Sus scrofa: one gene and its partners. The protein of the gene in region 2 interacts with the protein of the main gene of each other region in a biochemical or structural test. Links are inferred from orthologs where the notes say so. Each region holds a gene or a part of one and is shown on either strand. Other genes may lie near its edges.

Evidence for each region. The genes of interacting proteins can lie anywhere in the genome.
Region 1: the proteins of RB1 (region 2) and BRF1 form a complex in vitro, tested with the Homo sapiens proteins (2 studies listed by BioGRID). The link is inferred for Sus scrofa from reciprocal best matches to the Homo sapiens genes RB1 and BRF1.
Region 3: the proteins of RB1 (region 2) and RBBP4 form a complex in vitro, tested with the Homo sapiens proteins (2 studies listed by BioGRID). The link is inferred for Sus scrofa from reciprocal best matches to the Homo sapiens genes RB1 and RBBP4.
Region 4: of the proteins of RB1 (region 2) and CDK4, one has a biochemical effect on the other in vitro, tested with the Homo sapiens proteins (40 studies listed by BioGRID, with this or other methods). The link is inferred for Sus scrofa from reciprocal best matches to the Homo sapiens genes RB1 and CDK4.

What each region holds. Positions count from the first base shown.
Region 1 is NW_018084979.1:3,374,550-3,378,631, forward strand, and holds the start of BRF1 (transcription factor IIIB 90 kDa subunit), read right to left. Parts: upstream 2,801-4,082; 5' UTR 1,473-2,800; coding exon 1,205-1,472; intron 40-1,204; exon of another isoform or gene 1-39.
Region 2 is NC_010453.5:19,199,136-19,202,635, forward strand, and holds part of RB1 (retinoblastoma-associated protein), read right to left. Parts: intron 2,253-3,500; coding exon of another isoform or gene 2,235-2,252; coding exon 2,107-2,234; intron 1,046-2,106; coding exon 900-1,045; intron 1-899. UniProt on the Homo sapiens protein: Tumor suppressor that is a key regulator of the G1/S transition of the cell cycle. The hypophosphorylated form binds transcription regulators of the E2F family, preventing transcription of E2F-responsive genes.
Region 3 is NC_010448.4:88,985,787-88,989,891, reverse strand, and holds the start of RBBP4 (histone-binding protein RBBP4), read right to left. Parts: upstream 2,801-4,105; 5' UTR 2,516-2,800; coding exon 2,500-2,515; intron 1,933-2,499; coding exon 1,785-1,932; intron 1-1,784. Other genes in the region: ZBTB8OS (protein archease), read left to right, coding at 3,321-3,417. UniProt on the Homo sapiens protein: Core histone-binding subunit that may target chromatin assembly factors, chromatin remodeling factors and histone deacetylases to their histone substrates in a manner that is regulated by nucleosomal DNA.
Region 4 is NC_010447.5:23,039,160-23,043,221, forward strand, and holds CDK4 (cyclin-dependent kinase 4), read right to left. Parts: upstream 2,801-4,062; 5' UTR 2,734-2,800; intron 2,289-2,733; 5' UTR 2,270-2,288; coding exon 2,052-2,269; intron 1,893-2,051; coding exon 1,757-1,892; intron 1,640-1,756; coding exon 1,472-1,639; intron 1,307-1,471; coding exon 1,197-1,306; intron 949-1,196; coding exon 898-948; intron 758-897; coding exon 622-757; intron 383-621; coding exon 290-382; 3' UTR 47-289; downstream 1-46.

The DNA.
Region 1 (4,082 bases), on a different chromosome or scaffold from region 2:
CCTCGCTCAGTGGGTTAACGGATCCGGCATTGCCGTGAGCTGTGGTGTAGGTTGCAGACGTGGCTCGGATCCTGAGTTGCTGTGGCTCTGGTGGAGGCCCGTAGCTACAGCTCCAATTTGACACCTAGCCTGGGAATCTCCACATGGCGCAGGTGCGGCCCTAAAAATGCAAAGAAAGAAAGGAAGAAAGTCATCTGAACGGCCCTGAGGGGAACATAGATGCGAAGGTGCCGGTGTCGCCTTGTGCGTCCGTAGAAGCTCTCTGAAGGTTCTCTGCTGGCCTCTGCAGCAGGGCCTTGCTGTTTTCCTTTCTTTTCCAGCATTTAACTCTTGTACCACGTTGTTGGGACACAATTCCCACCATGCGAAGCACAGGAAAGTATTAAAATGTACCTCCAAAGGGGCCCTTCGTCTCAGGGCCCAGACCAACCAGGTGCGAGACAGGAGGGCGTCTGTGCATCACCCGGACCCAGGGCGGGCTGGGCCCAGCGGCACAGGGATCTCGCACCGTCTGCTCTGGGCGCCTGCCCCAGGTCCTGAGAGCTGCACAGCCGTCCACTTTGCCAGCCCTTGGACCACAGAAGCTGCTGCTGTCACTGTCCTTTCTTCTCCTTGCACAACTGACACAGTCGTCACGGAGAAAACATGAAATAAAGATAAGCGAGCAGGGAAAGCTAAATCAACTGCGTTTCCACCAAAGACATAATTTCTTAACACTTTGGATTCATTTCTAACCTTTCAGTATTTTCCCCAAACGTGTTTTTGGTTTTTTTGTCCCTCCCCACCCCCCGCACCTGGACGTTCCCAGGCCAGGGATCGAACCTGTGCCGCCACTGCAACCAGAGCCACAGTAGTGACCACACTGGATCCTTAACCCACTGAGCCACCAGGGAACTCCTTTTCCTGTGCTTTGAATATAAGCCTTTCAGGAGTTCCCTGGTGGCTCACAGGGTTCAGAATCTGGCATCGTCACTGCTGTGGCTCAGTTGCTGCTCTGGTGTGGGTTCGATCCCTGGCCTGGGCACTTCTACATGTCACACGCATTGCTGACAAAAAGAAAATAGGTCTTTTACATGCAGAATCACTCACACGTAAGTACATATTTTAACCACACAACTTACATAAACATGATGCACTTACACGTGCTTCGTTAACCGAACAGGATCGTGTTGGGCCGTCTATCGGCAGCCGTTTCTTAACTTACCATCTGTCACAGCTGTCTGCTCCGGGGGTGGCTGTGAGGTGGCCGACCAGACCTCACCCGGCTCTCTGACCCTGGAGGCGGGGCCAGGCTTCCCTCTCAGGGGCCCGGCTGGCTGGCGCGGGGCAGACCTACTCCCCGGGGTCCTCGGTGACCTCGGAAACCTCCTGTAAAGTGTCGCTGCTGCGCAGTGCCGTGCATCTCCAGAGAGGGTCTGCAGCAGCCCCTGCAGTCTCGGGCACGCACTTCCCACCAGCACCAACGCAGGCATCCCGGTGCTGGATGCTGGAAATCTGCGGGCGAAACGGGTATCTCCCTATGTGAGAAGCCTATTCCCGCGGCTGCCGGCCCATCCGCCACGCTCCCCAGGTCCTTTGGAAGGCCTTTCCCCGTCTCTGCAAGGGTCCTACCCCCTTGCGGTGGCACTGGTGGGCAACTCTGGCCCGCGACACACATCACAGACGTTCTCCCGTTTGCCTTGACTTCGCCGATGGCGTTGGTGTTGGTTTTGGAGACAGCGGCCATCTCCGGGCACACGAACACCGCAGGGCCGTCAGCCAGCGACCCCCTCCGGTGTCTCTGTGCTCAGAAAGTGCAGGGTGGCTCTGCCTATTGGATGCTGTATCGTGATGGTGTCGTCCACCTGGGGCTGGGGTTGGTGTCTCTTGCGAGGGCAGCTCCCCCTGGTTTTCTTGGAGCAGCTCCCACGCCTGCTCTGCGTTTCCGACCCCTCTTGAGCTCCTGCAGTGACAACTGTCACTGCCATCTCTTGAGACCTCAAATACTGGTTACCAAGACTCCCCTTCTTCCAAGGCCTGGTCTGGCAATGACCATAAGAACGCTGCCCACTTCTCCCGGGGCCCTTCTGGGCAGCAGCTCTGTCCGTTTGCCTCCAGGGCCATGGGCAACCCAATGACCAACCCCACGACAGGGTGGCACCATAGCCATCCCGTGTCACGAGTGAGGAGACGAGAAAGGGTTTCTCTGCTATGACAGCTGGTGTCGTCTGCCAGCCTAACTTCAGCATCAGGTGTTCAAGCTCCTTGCGCTGGTCAGCGTTCCAGAGACACAGCGCAAGTGGGACATGCACAGAAAGGGGGTTTATTGGGAGGAGTCGGCTCTTATCCTCCCGGAGGCTGAGGCTCCCATGGGTGCGATTCATCCAAAGTCTGAAGGTGGGACAGCAGGAAGGTCTCTCGTTCCTCGCCTCTGTACTAGTCAGACCCTCAGCGATGGGCGAGGCCCACCTGCCTGGGGCGGGGGCACCTGCCTCACTGAGTCACCCATTCAGGTGCTGGGCTCCCCCAGAAACACCCTCACACACACCCAGAAGCAGTGCTTGATCTGGGCCCCTGCAGCCGGTCAGCTTGACCCAATCACACGTGAGTCTCCTCACCGACCATTTTGGATGCCTCCGCCTGTTGGGGAGCAGCTGATGGGTCTCCCAGAGAGGACACCCCCCGGGGCACTGCTGTCCACACACAGGGGTTCCTTCACAGCCCAGCCGCATGCCCCTGGCCTCTGCTGGACGCTGGCGGGGGTGGGCAGGGAGGGTGTCTCTCTTCGGGGGCCTGTGTCCAGCCCCAGACCAGGAGCTCCGTCCCTGTGGAAAAGGAGAGAGCAGGTGTGGGGGCCAGCCGGCTCCCTCTGCCAGAGAGGTATTTTGCGTGGCTGTTGGCGGTGTCAGGGGATGGACTGCCCCCTTTACTTCCGACAGCCTGCATCAGCCTTGGCTCTGGTTAGCTTCCCCACTTTGCCACATTCTTCTCTTGGGTTTTTCTCAGGATACAACCAGATTCTATTCATTAGAATTAATGACACCATAACCGTCTCGTTCCACCCACTACAACCTTAGCTCTTATTCATGTTTTAAGGACCAAGGGACTTTTCTTTCTTTCTTTCCTTTCATCTTTGGCCACCCCGCAGCATATGGGCCAGGGATTGAACCTGCGGGTCTGCAGCGACCCGAGCTGCTGTAGTCGGATCCCCCGCCCAGAGACAGATGGAGTTCCAGGGCCAGGACCAGATCTGAATTGCAACCTACCCTGCAGCTGCGTCAATGCTGGATCCTTTAACCCACTGTGCCGGGCCTGGGATGGAACCTGCGTCCTGGGGCTGCAGAGACACTGCCATCCCATTGCAGCACAGCAGGAACTCCTACAGCTGGTTTCTTGTTTATTCAGTGAACAAATGTGTGAACCTCTGGACCCTACTCGGCTCTGTAAGGGTCCCCTGTGACCTGTTTACTGGGCAGCCCCAACGGTAGGGTCAGTGGGGCACCTGCTCCACGGCCGCCGCTAGAGGGCATCCTGGGGAGGTGCTGAACTCCGTTTTGACTTCGGGAGCTCAGGCTCTGTCGGGGTGGACAGGTAAATGAGACCGGCAGAGTCCTCAGCGCCCGCATCTCTAACCCGGAGTGGACTGTCAGCAGGTGGAGCATTGGTGGCGCCTCAAGCTGAGCCCCCACCCCGCTCCTGCCCACCTCGCAGGGCCCCTCTCAGACCCACCCTGGGGGCTGGCGCTGTGGGGCCCGCCTTTCTGCTCACATGGCTCCCAGGACACCAGCCCTGAGCTGGGAGCTCCCAGCTCTTTCTTGTGAGAGGACTGCTCCCTGGCCACTGCCCGCTGTCGGCTGAGCCTTCTGCAGAGTGTTTCCGTCCCTGCCCCAGACGGTCCCTCAGCCGCGCGGCGTCCTTCACCCCCGGCAGCGGTGGCTCCTAGGTCACATCGGGGCATGGATCAGGACCTGTTCCACTCCCGCGCGGCTCCTTCCGCGCCACCCCCAGGAAGGGGAGATGACGCATGGCTGCGGGCTGGAGCCGCTAGAGCCATCCTGCTGATCCAGTGGCCCTGGCCACTCCCCTGCCCGGCTGGAGCGGCT
Region 2 (3,500 bases):
ACAAAATAAGTAAATCCTCTCTCTCATCACTTCTATTCACCACTGTATTGGAGAGTCTAGCCAGAAAAATTTGGCAAATAAATGAAATAAAAGGGCATCTAGATTTAAAAGGAAGCAGTAAAATGACCTCAATTCATAGATGATAGGATTTGATATACTGAAAATCTTAAGGAATCCACTAAAAAACTATTAGAACTGATAAACGGCTTCAGCAAGGTTGCAGGATACAAGATCAACAGACAGAAATCAATTGTATTTCTATACACTTGTAATGAAAAATCTTACAGAGAACTGAGGAAACAAGTCTACAACAGAGTTAACAGGGAATAAAATCCTTTTTTAAAAAGTGCAAGACTTGTACTCTGAAAACTATAAATCATTGTTGAAAGAAATTCAAGATCTAAGTGAATGGAAAGACATTACATGTTCATGAACTATAAGACAATGTTAAGACAACAGTACTACTAAATTGATCTAGGATTAAAAGCAATCCCTATCAAAATTCCAGCTGGCTTCTTTGCAGAAATTGACAAGCTGATCCTAAAATTCACATGCAGGAGTTCCCATCATGGCGCAGTGGTTAACGAATCCGACTAGGAACCGTGAGGTTGGGGGTTCAATCCCTGGCCTTGCTCAGTGGGTTAAGGATCCGGCATTGCCGTGAGCTGTGGTGTAGGTCGAAGACTCGGCTCGGATCCCACGTTGCTGTGGCTGTGGCATAGGCTGGTGGCTACAGCTCTGATTCGACCCCTAACCTGGGAACCTCCATGTGCCGCAGGAGCGGCCCAAGAAATGGCAAAAAGACAAAAAAAGACCAAAAAAAAAAAAAAAAGGAAAAGAAATCAGTTACAGAGCTAACAAGTAAGGGGGAGAAGAGAAGATGTGCATAATTTTCTCACCTGGTCCAAATGCCTGTCTCTCATGAGTTCACACTCATTTTGCAGTGTGTGCTGGAAAAGGGTCCAGATGATATGCTCTAGTTCTGGGTGATCAGACAGAAGGCGTGCACACAGGGTATTGAGTCGAAGATATGCTAGTCGGTACACTGGAGAAATAAGGAGAATCAATCATATCTATTCTCGACTTATCACAAGTGGACTTTTTCAAAACATGAAATTGCTATAATCAAAATGCTGTTAAACAGCATTTTAACATTAAATTCATCTCTACCACTATTTCCCTTATGAATAAATGGTTTCTAGTCTTAGTGCCATGCTATATACATAGAAGGCAAATTATTACAGCATAAAACTGAGGCATAGGTGGAAGAAGAAAGATCCTAAGATATTGTGAAATCAGACCCAAAGAGGGTTTGTTTCAGTTCCACTGGTAATCCCTCATCACAAAAAATGTTGAAAATTCTATCAATATTCAAAAAGGATTCTTTTCCCTCTTCTTAGAGTTTCTGATTGAGTAATTCTAAGGTGGGGCTCCAAAAAAAAATCCTTCCTACAATTTACCAGGTGAGGTGGATTCAGCTGGTTGGGGACAACACTTTGGAAACACTGCTCTATCTTGCCTATGAAGCTCAGTATATTGCTGACTTGAATAAAATCAGAAAAAAAAAAGGTTTATCACAGAGGAATCTGACCTTTCACCTTCCTTCAAAGAGCTCCAAGCGGGCATGCACTTGCATGTATATACACATCCAACAGACACCAAATCACCTCCCCGCCCCGTCGCAACCCACACGCAAACTGAGAATGCCATGCCACTGGGCCACCCAGAAATGCAATGCACCAGGCCACAGCACACTGTATAATCTCAACTCACACACCTGAACAGCAAAAGTCATGATAACAGCAAATATTTCCAAACATAAACTTGAAAGTATAGCAGCAATAGCAACAATAACAACATCTAACACTTTCTGAGTGCTTACTATGTGCAAGGCACTGTTGGAAGTATTTTATGTATTAATTCATTTAATTACCTCAAAACTCATAGGGTACATTATTATTATTTCCATCTTATGGAAGAGGAAACTGTGGCACAAAGACATTCAGTGACTTTTCCAAAGTCATGCTTACTAAGCAGAAGTGCCAAGATTTGAATCTAGTCAGCCTGGTTTCAGAGTCCATACTCTTCAAGTTAACATCTACTGACCTTTTTTGTAAAAGAGTGAAAGGGAGGTAGATTTCAGTGGCTTCTGAGTCTGGAAGGTTGAGGTTGCTTGTGCCTCTGAATTTGCAGTAGAATTTACACGTGTAGTTGACCCTTTTTTCTTGGGGGATCTTAAAGGAGAAAGATACCTGGATATATTCAAAGGAAAAGTCTTCATTTGAAGTTTGCTAAGAATCTCCATCACTTTCTGTCTCTCTCTCTCTCTCACACACACACACACACACACACACACACACACACACACACACACACACACACACACACGGCTGTAGACATGCATCCAAACACATCTTGTCTATTTAATCTGTTATTCTACACCAAATTCCTACTTAAATATAAGTTGGAAAAAGGAGCTTAATAGGAAAACTAAGCTTGTCATCATTTCTAATTTTATTTTAATAAATGGCTTCTAGTGGGAATTCCTACCTTATTGAAAACCACAGCTGTATGTGTTTATATGTTCGATTTTAATAATTATAGTGTATAGTGTATAGATGTAAAATGACTCCTAATTAAAATAATAAGCCATTGATATCAAAATATCAATTTCTCTGATTCTTTGTTTAAAAATGTTTCATTTATAACTATGGTCCACATATAGAAGACTTAAGTTACACACACATATGCCTTCCTAAATTACCTAGTATAGAATTACATGACTAATATTTCAGATAGCATTATTAAAGCAGATTTACACCTGTATACTAAATATGTCAGGCATAAATCAAGGCAGAGATATTAGGAAGTACTCTCTCTCAACTTCTGACTTTCTACTGCTCTGTGCTATATTTATTTTAGAGGGAAACTCCAGATCTACTTTCTAAATTTTTTTTTTTAGTAACAGAAGTAATTCTGAGCAGGAAGTAGACGTGCGCCTTACTACAGACGTTTCTACCACAGGCAATCCATTACCTAGTGCAGCAGGAAAGGGGAATCACCATCACGACCGTCTAAGGATCAGGATCTAGTCTCCCGTCACACTTGCAATTCTCCTCAATTCGCTACCAATACTGTAGACTGACTTGACTTGGGTAGAAGTTAATCTCCCTTGAATTCCGGGTGAAAATATTCACTTACTTACTAGACTTCAGATTTGAGAAGGCCAAAATGGAATTCTTGATTTTCCCTCCATTTTTCCCATTTCAAAAAATGGCTCCACATTACATCCAGTTTATTAAGTCACTCTAGGAGCTATTTTTAATTTCTTTCCTTTTCTCAATCTTCAAGGCCAATGCAAAAGAAAGTTCTATTAAATCTTCCTCTAAAATACACCCCAGATCTGTCCACTTCTTTCTCTCTCTACTAACATTTCTTAGATCAAGTCATTTACATTTCTCACTTGGACTATTCCAATTGTCTCCAAACTGGTCTTATTT
Region 3 (4,105 bases), on a different chromosome or scaffold from region 2:
CTGTAGCACATCAAGTTCCCAGGCTAGGGGCTGAATCAGAGCTACAGCTGCCAGCCACAGCCACGCTCTGAATCTGAGCCACATTTGCGACCTACACCACAGCTCACGGCAACACTGGATCCTTTAATCCACTGCCAGGGGCAGGGACTGAATCCACATCCTCATGGATACTGGTTGGGTTCGTTACTGCTGAGCCACAACGGGAACTCCAGATTTCCCCATTTTTAAAAAGCTACTACGAAAGTAGCATGCTCATTAAGTTGGCAATGAAATTTCTATAAAATTTCTATTACTTGTTGAGCTGAAACATAGGCCAACAACCACATTTTACAAATATCTTGACTCAAAAGACCTGAGTTCTGAAGGAACCTAGTTATTTAGCATACATATAACTTTCAGCTGTTACTCTGAACACCAACAGTTTTGTAATAAAAAATCCATTATTCCCCCAGGCACGCTCAGTTTGTTAAAGCTTTATACTACTTAAAGTCACCTTCCTTTTCACACTGTCACTTCCCACTGAAAGCCTTTCCTGATATTCCAAGTTGAGATAATTTTCCTTTCTCTGATCATTTTATCTTTGCCACTTTCATAATTATACCTGCCTATTCACTAGACTTGAAAGCAGGTACCATGTCACATTTACCTTTGCATTAACTAACTAGAAAATACCACTGACTGCCGAGATTCAAACATTTTGATGTTAAAAACTGAACTCATCCTGATAGTTTCTGAAAGCTGACAAGTTTTACATTACCATTTGGTCAACTACAGCTATAATCCCACTATTCAATTCAGTGTTAGGAAAAGGAAACATCTCCCACACTGCTGGTGGGAAAGCAAACTGGTGCAGCTATTATGGAAAACAGTATGTAAATGCCTCAGAAAACTAAGGATAGAGTTACCATATGACCCAGCAATCCTACTCCCCAGTATATATCCAGACAAAACTATAATTCAAAATGATACATGTACCGCTATGTTCACAGCAGCATTATTCACAATAGCCAAGACATGGGAACAATCTGACAGATGAATAAAGATGTGGTACATATATACAATGGAATACTACTCAGCCGTAAAAAGGAAGAAATAATGCCATTTGCAGCAACCTGGATGCAATTAGATGATCATACTAAGTGAAATCAGAAAGAGAAAGACAAATATCATTTATATTGGAGAGTCTAAAATATGACAAACCTATCTACAAAACAGAAACAGACTCAGATATAGGAAATAAATTTGTGGTTGCCAAGGGGGTTGGGAGAGGGAGCAGGAGGTGGGGGTTAGCAGATGTAATAAGCTAGTCTACACGAAAGTGGTAATAAACAAGATCCTACTGTATAACAAAGAAAATTATATTCAGTGTCCTAGGAAAACCATAATGGAAAAGAATATATATCCAAAAAAAAGTGTACACAGGAAACTGTGATTGGGTCACTTTGCTATACAACAGAAACCGAAGAAGCATGGAAAATCAGCTGTACTTTAAAAACATAACTGAATCACTTTGCCGTACAGCAGAAATTTACACAACATTGTAAATCAGTACCTCAATAAAAACAAGTAAATAAAAAGAAAACATCAGTATGTTCTCTCTTATATGCTAAACTGCAAAATAATTTTACATTTTGCCTTACTTTCTGGCCTAGGAAAAAAATGTCACCAATAGGCTTTGATCACGTGTCCTCTACGGGTGACTGGAGAGAGGAAAACAGGGAAAATCAATGTGAGAAATCTACACTGAGGACACAACAAAACAGCATTCGAGAGATTCCTATCACCTGGTTACATCTGGAAGCCACTGTGCAGTTAGGCTGGGCCACTCCAGAGCATGGGTCATCACCAAATCGTAAAGAAAAGGGGTGTTCTTTTTCCATATTTTGTACTCTTCGTTGATCACACGTTCTTCTACTGCGTCATCAAAGGCTGCTAAAAAATTAAGAACAAATTAAGTTAGCGACCACAAACGGAAACCGAGTAAACACTTCCAAAGCTACCGTCACGGCTCCTGAATCCTGATTCTGAAATGGAGATTAGTCTAGATCTCCCGGAGGCGCAGGCACCACCACCGCTCTCCAGCTTCGCCGGGCGGGAACTGCTCGGGTAATCCCGACCAGACACTCCGTTAGCCCTTCGGGCGACGGCGCCCGCCGTCGAGCGCACAGAACCGACGGTGAGACCGAGCACCGACCCCTGCGGGTAGGGAGAGCGGCCGGGAGGACCCGGAGAGAGGCAGGTAGACCGACGGGGAGCGCGGGAGGGACCAAACACCCCCCCCGAGGCCACCACGGCCAGCCTCACACCGCTGCGCCGGGCCTCCGCTCCAGAGGGGCTGGCGCGCCATGAGCCCGCCCCGCGGGGCGATTTTTCCTCACGCCTGCGATGGCGGGGACGGCCCTAGGCAGAGTCTGGCCTGCCCCCACCGTTAGGCCGCGTTGAGGCCGCGGCGCAAGCCTGACTCCTCCCGCCCTCCTGGGGCGGCCCCGGCACCCTCACCTTCCTTGTCCGCCATGGCGTACAGGCAAGCCGGGGGGATCCTGGGGCAGAGCGTTGCGAGAGGGGCGGGGAGGCTGCGAGCGCTCCTTCTGCGCGCGCGGCCTCTATTGTTTCCTGCTGCCCCTGCGTGAGGGCCGACTCGCGCACCTTCGCGCCAACATCGGCCAATCGGAGTGCGCCGAACGTCGGTGTGGGCGGGGAAGCCGCGATCGCAGCCTATCCAGACGCGCGGAGCAGCTTGCCTCCAGGCCCAGGCGCGCGCTCTGCCCCTGCCCCCACACGGCCCCAAGCCGACTTCCTCCGATCACGCGCGCGCGCTCGCGCGCGCGGGAGTAGTAGAAGTGCACCCGCCCGGGGTCACGTGAGAGGTTTAGTCCGCACGCTTTTGGGGGCAGCCATTTTCGTGAAGGGTGTTAAGCTAGCGACCCCTTCAAAGTAGTACTTTAGATGGGAAAATGTAGGATGCTTCCGGGTCTAGTTATCTATTGTGGGGCTAGGCGGCAAGAAAAGGCCTCTATCATTCAGATCGAAAGGTGTCTAATTCGTGTCCCTTATTCCACGTCCTCCAAATTATTTGTTTCCTTAGTCGTAGGAAGAACTATTAAGCAAGAGCAGAAAGTGGGTCCTTCGACTTTTAATGATGTGCTCCAAACCCTGGGACACAGAACGGAAGTCTAGAAGGATTAAGTACCTCCCAGGGAATGGAGCCCTGGTCCTTTAAGGGTGTGCCAAGGGGCGGAGTCTAGAGCGGAAGTTATAAGTCAGGGCCGAAGTCCAGCTGAAGAAGGGCGGAAGCTGAGTTTGGGTCCAAAAGCACAATCATGGCGCTGGAAGGGGAAGATTTTAGAGATTACAATTTGACTGAGGAGCAGAAGGCGATCAAGGCCAAGTATCCTCCAGTCAATCGGAAGTACGAGTGTGAGTAGGTGTCTCACTTCTCTCATTACCTGGGGCTTCTGGCCTCGCCTTCCACTTTGTCCCCTACGGTACTTCCGGCACGTTCCCTTTTAGCCCTGTTTGTCTCTTCTGTGCTTGTCCCGCGGATGCTGAAGGGAAAAGCCACCCGGTCTGAATCGGAAATCTGGGCTTCCACATTTAGTCTTTTGAACTTTTTCTACGTGTGCCTATTCACGCTTACTTTGTGGGAATTTTATTGGTGTATTAATTCTAAACACAACCGTGTTTTCAAGCGTTTGCGGAGTTGTCGTCTCCTAAGAGTGTGGCTAGGTTAGGGGACTGAAAGCTCTCAGTAGGGAACTTCTAACTTGGTGTTTTACCTGTATCGTGTTAGTAAAAAGACCTGGTTTTGCCATATTTAGTTAAGTGACTTTAGGCAAATCACATAACCTTTCTTTGCATTCAGTTCCTTCATGTGAGGGATAATTGAGATAAAAATAAATGTGAAAGTGTAGTGCAGACTCTGAAGTTCTATATAAACCTTAAGCTATCATCCCTAAAGGTGGCTGTGGTCTGGGAAGGACTAATCTGACTCTAATATCCCTGCTTAAAATATTTCATTAAATTCCCCTTGTCTTCAGTATAGAATCCAACTATTTACCATAGCTTACTAGGCTTAGTTCTTTCTGGACCCTGTATGTCTCCCTAC
Region 4 (4,062 bases), on a different chromosome or scaffold from region 2:
TGTTTCTCCTGTATAAAAAAGGATTCTAGTATCAAGGTACAGGGAAGGGGAGAGCAAGGAACATACCCCTTGGTGTAAGGAAATGGGGGGGGGTAAGTCTCAAAAGGAGGGGAGGGAGGGGAATGTCATTAAGGCAGCAAAATATTCTCTGTAAAAAGACAGAGGCAGTCGTCTCCACACCCCAGAGATGAAGGCAGAGATCGACTTCTCGGCAAGGGACTCTCAAGTGTTCAAAGGAAGGGAAGTGTTGGCTTCTCTTCTCTTGGTTCTGTTGCAACCATTCCATTGCTCACTCTGGGTTACCTTCTGCCTTATGTAGATAAGAGTGCTGCAGGGCTCGGAAGGCAGAGATTCGCTTGTGTGGGTTAAAAGTCAGCATCTCCTAAGAAGGGAGGCAAAGGTCAGAAAACTGTGAAGAAAACAAAATAGACTTCTACTCACCCTTAACAATATCTAGAATGGGTTCTTTTCTATCTCTCTTTGTGGACTGCCATTCAAAGCAGCAAGAGAAAACTAGCCCATCCACTAATGAGTCTCAGTGATCACAATGTGTTTGGGTCCCTTTTATACTGCTGTTTTTTCACCCCAATCTCACCCTGTGCCCATACCCAAGCCCAGTACCAGTAGCAGCTGTGCTCCAGACTCCTCCATCTCAGGTACCACCGACTGCACTGGGCGGGGCCCTCTGGGGGAAAAGGCTCCTCGGGGTAGAGACACATCTCGGGGCCAGTCATCCTCTGGGGGCAGCCCAATCAGGCTATGGGAAACAGGAGAACTCTGGTCAGGAGGGCCCGTCTCTAGCCCCCACCCCCAGGGGCAGAGCCAGTTTCCAACCAGGGCTCAGCAGAAAGAGGACGACTAAGAATGGAAAACTCTTTTCCCTTCCCAATCACTTACTCAAAGATTTTGCCTAACTGGTCAGCTTCAGAGTTTCCACAGAAGAGAGGCCTGAGGTGAGAAAAGACATAAGACAGCAGTCATTTTCAAACATATGGTGGAAGAATGATTACAGCTTAGTAGCTCAGAACATCGGGTATGTAGAATAAAGAGCTATGGAATTCCTAATTCCAGGATATTTCAGAGCTTCTGGTTATAGACCAGATGGTCAGGAGTACTCAAGTAGAAGAGTGGCCATGACATGGATGTGGTTTATGAATAAGAGATTTGGGAAATTATGGGTTATTTGGGCCCCATACTTTCGACGAAACATCTCTGCGAAGATACAGCCAACGCTCCACATGTCCACAGGTGTTGCATACGTAGACTGCAAAAGAACTTCTGGAGCACGGTACCAGAGTGTAACCACCTAATAGGAATAAGAAGGGTCGATGAGGTCCCTACTCCTTACCATGAAGCACAACTGCTTCACTGAAGTCAAGCACGTAAAAAACACGTGACTTCCCAACTGCTACGAGCAAGCATTCTCCTCCCACTAACCAGAAGCCATTTTGGCTACCATCTTTCTACTGACCACAGGTGTAAGTGCCATCTGGTAGCTGTAGATTCTGGCCAGGCCAAAGTCAGCCAGCTTGACTGTCCCACCACTTGTAACCAGAATGTTCTCTGGCTTCAGGTCTCGATGAACGATGCAGTTGGCATGAAGGAAATCTAGGCCTCTTAGAAACTGACGCATCAGATCCTGGTTTAGAAGGGGGAGGTACAGAGAAACTGGAAACTAGGCATCATACTGGAAGCCACAACAGATGCTACTACAAAGATCCCAGTTTACTTCTCAGTATATGTCCATCCTACTCACCTTGATGGTCTCCACCGGCAAGCCTGGTGGGGGTGCCTTGTCCAGATATGTCCTTAGATCTTGGTCCACATGCTCAAACACCAGGGTCACTTTGGTCTCTCGATCAGTTCGGGCAGTGGCACAGACATCCATCAGCCTGGCCAGAACAAAAGGTCACTCAGTGATCAATCATCTTTGACCTAACATGGCTTCCCCTATTCCTTCAGGGTCCCCACTTCTTTCAACCACCACTCCCCACCTACAGGTTGTCTATTCCTTTTTACTACCCACTCCCAACCCTCCACCTTCTTCTCACCGGACAACATTGGGATGCTCGAAAGCCTCCAGCCGGCGCAGTAAGGCCACTTCACGAACCGTGCTGATGGGCAGGCCCCCTCCAGCACCTCCTCCATTGGGGACTCTTACGCTCTTGAGGGCCACAAAGTGGCCACTGTGGGGATCCCGTGCTTTGTACACGGTCCCATAGGCACCAACACCAATCTCCGCCACTGGTTCATACCGGGAGGTAGCCATTCTCAGACCAGATGAGACCCTACAATCACAGAGACTCCTGCCACCAAATTCCCTTCCAGAGTTCAAATAGTTATGAGCCTGCGGCAACAAAGTGTCTCGCACAAAACATATCCCAAAGACAACAAGAGCAGCATCCCGTCCCTTCCCCAAATTTCCATAAGGCCGACCCCCCTAGGTAACACAATGATTAACCAAAAGCCCTCCAGCCACGTGAGGCCCTAGAATTAAAAAATTCCTTCTTCTTTGGGACTATCAAGCCCTGTACAAGGGAAATCCCACACGACACACCCCCTGCATTGAAGACCCTTCACCTAGTCCTTTAAATTACACCTCCCTATGACCACAAAGGAACATACTACACCCTGCACCACTTCCCGCCCTCGAGCGACCCTTCCAGACCAGCCCGCGTAGGAAGCCGGGGAGGACTAGAATGGTCCCTATTCCTGGAAGGGGGCTACACTTACCTCGCCCCGTGTCAGGAGCTGCGGGGGCGGCCCGTTATCGGGGCCCCGGAGCCGGTTCTTGCAGCGCCATGCACTCGAGCTCTGTCTGGGGCAGCTGGACTCTACGGGCCCGACCATAGACATAGGCCGCAGGCTAGAGCGGCCCCCTTTGCCCCCACCCTCACCATGTGACCAGCTGCCAAAGAGGCGCGCGGAAACTGGCAGGGCGGGGCGAATGTGCCGGACGTTCGGAACACGTGACCAGAGTACGCGTGCGCAGAAAGGCAGCTTGGAGCCTATTTGACCGGGAAGGGGGCGGGGAAGGGAAAGGGGCGGAGGGGCGATGGCAGCCACGTGATCTGTTGCTATCACACGTGACCGCTTGACTGCTTGGAGGAGCAGAGGTGTGGTTACGCTGTAGGGCACGTGACTGGCTGCCGTAACTCTGGCGAGGGGGGGGCGGGAGCCTAGAGAAGGTGGAGTCCAATACGGTGCCATGGCAACCTGGGCCACCCAGATCCCAATTCCCCATTGCAGGCCGAGCCGGAGCGCCAACTCCAGTGTCACTATGCGTCTGTCACTCTATATGCAGAGTGGGGGGCCTGGGGACGTGAGGAGGTGCTGTCGCCTTTATGTACCACCGCCATCGGAAAACATATTCTCATTTGTGTCTTTGTTTCATTCACTCATTCAACAAATTTTTACCGAACGCTTACTTCCTGTGTAAATGTACGGTTTTTGCTACATGAGTTTTTTTGGTGTCTCAGGCACTAGCCCTTTAAGGTAGTGAAAAGGCTATATGTAAAGATATAGCCGGCAGCGTGATCATATAAAATAGAGAGGACACAATACCCGTTTTAGGGCAAAACTAGCATTAAAGGACTGATGGAAGGCAGATAAATACAGTAATCCAACAGGAAGCGTGGCAAGGTAGTGTGCCTTCACCTCTTCAGAACTTCCATTTCTCCCTGGGAGTGTTAAAGCAGAATCTAGATACCTCCTGGCAGAGAGGTTATTAATGAGCTGGAAACAGGAATACTTGACCTTTAAGGTTCTTTTCCAGAGTTCCTGCTGTGGTGCAGCGGGGTGAGATCCGTTGAGTTAGTTGTCTCTGTGGTGGCACAGGTTCAACCCTACCAGGCGCAGGGGGTTAGCGATCCCACGTTGATACATCTGCAGCTCGGATTCAGTTCCTGGCCGGGAACTTCCATATGCCACAGGTGGGGCCAAAAAAAAAGTTTCTTTTCTGCACTAAGATGGTGTGTGTGTGTGTGTGTGTGTGCACGCGCGCGCGCACGCTATTATATACATCATATACAGATGGATATAGGAATGAGTGTGTGCAAGGAA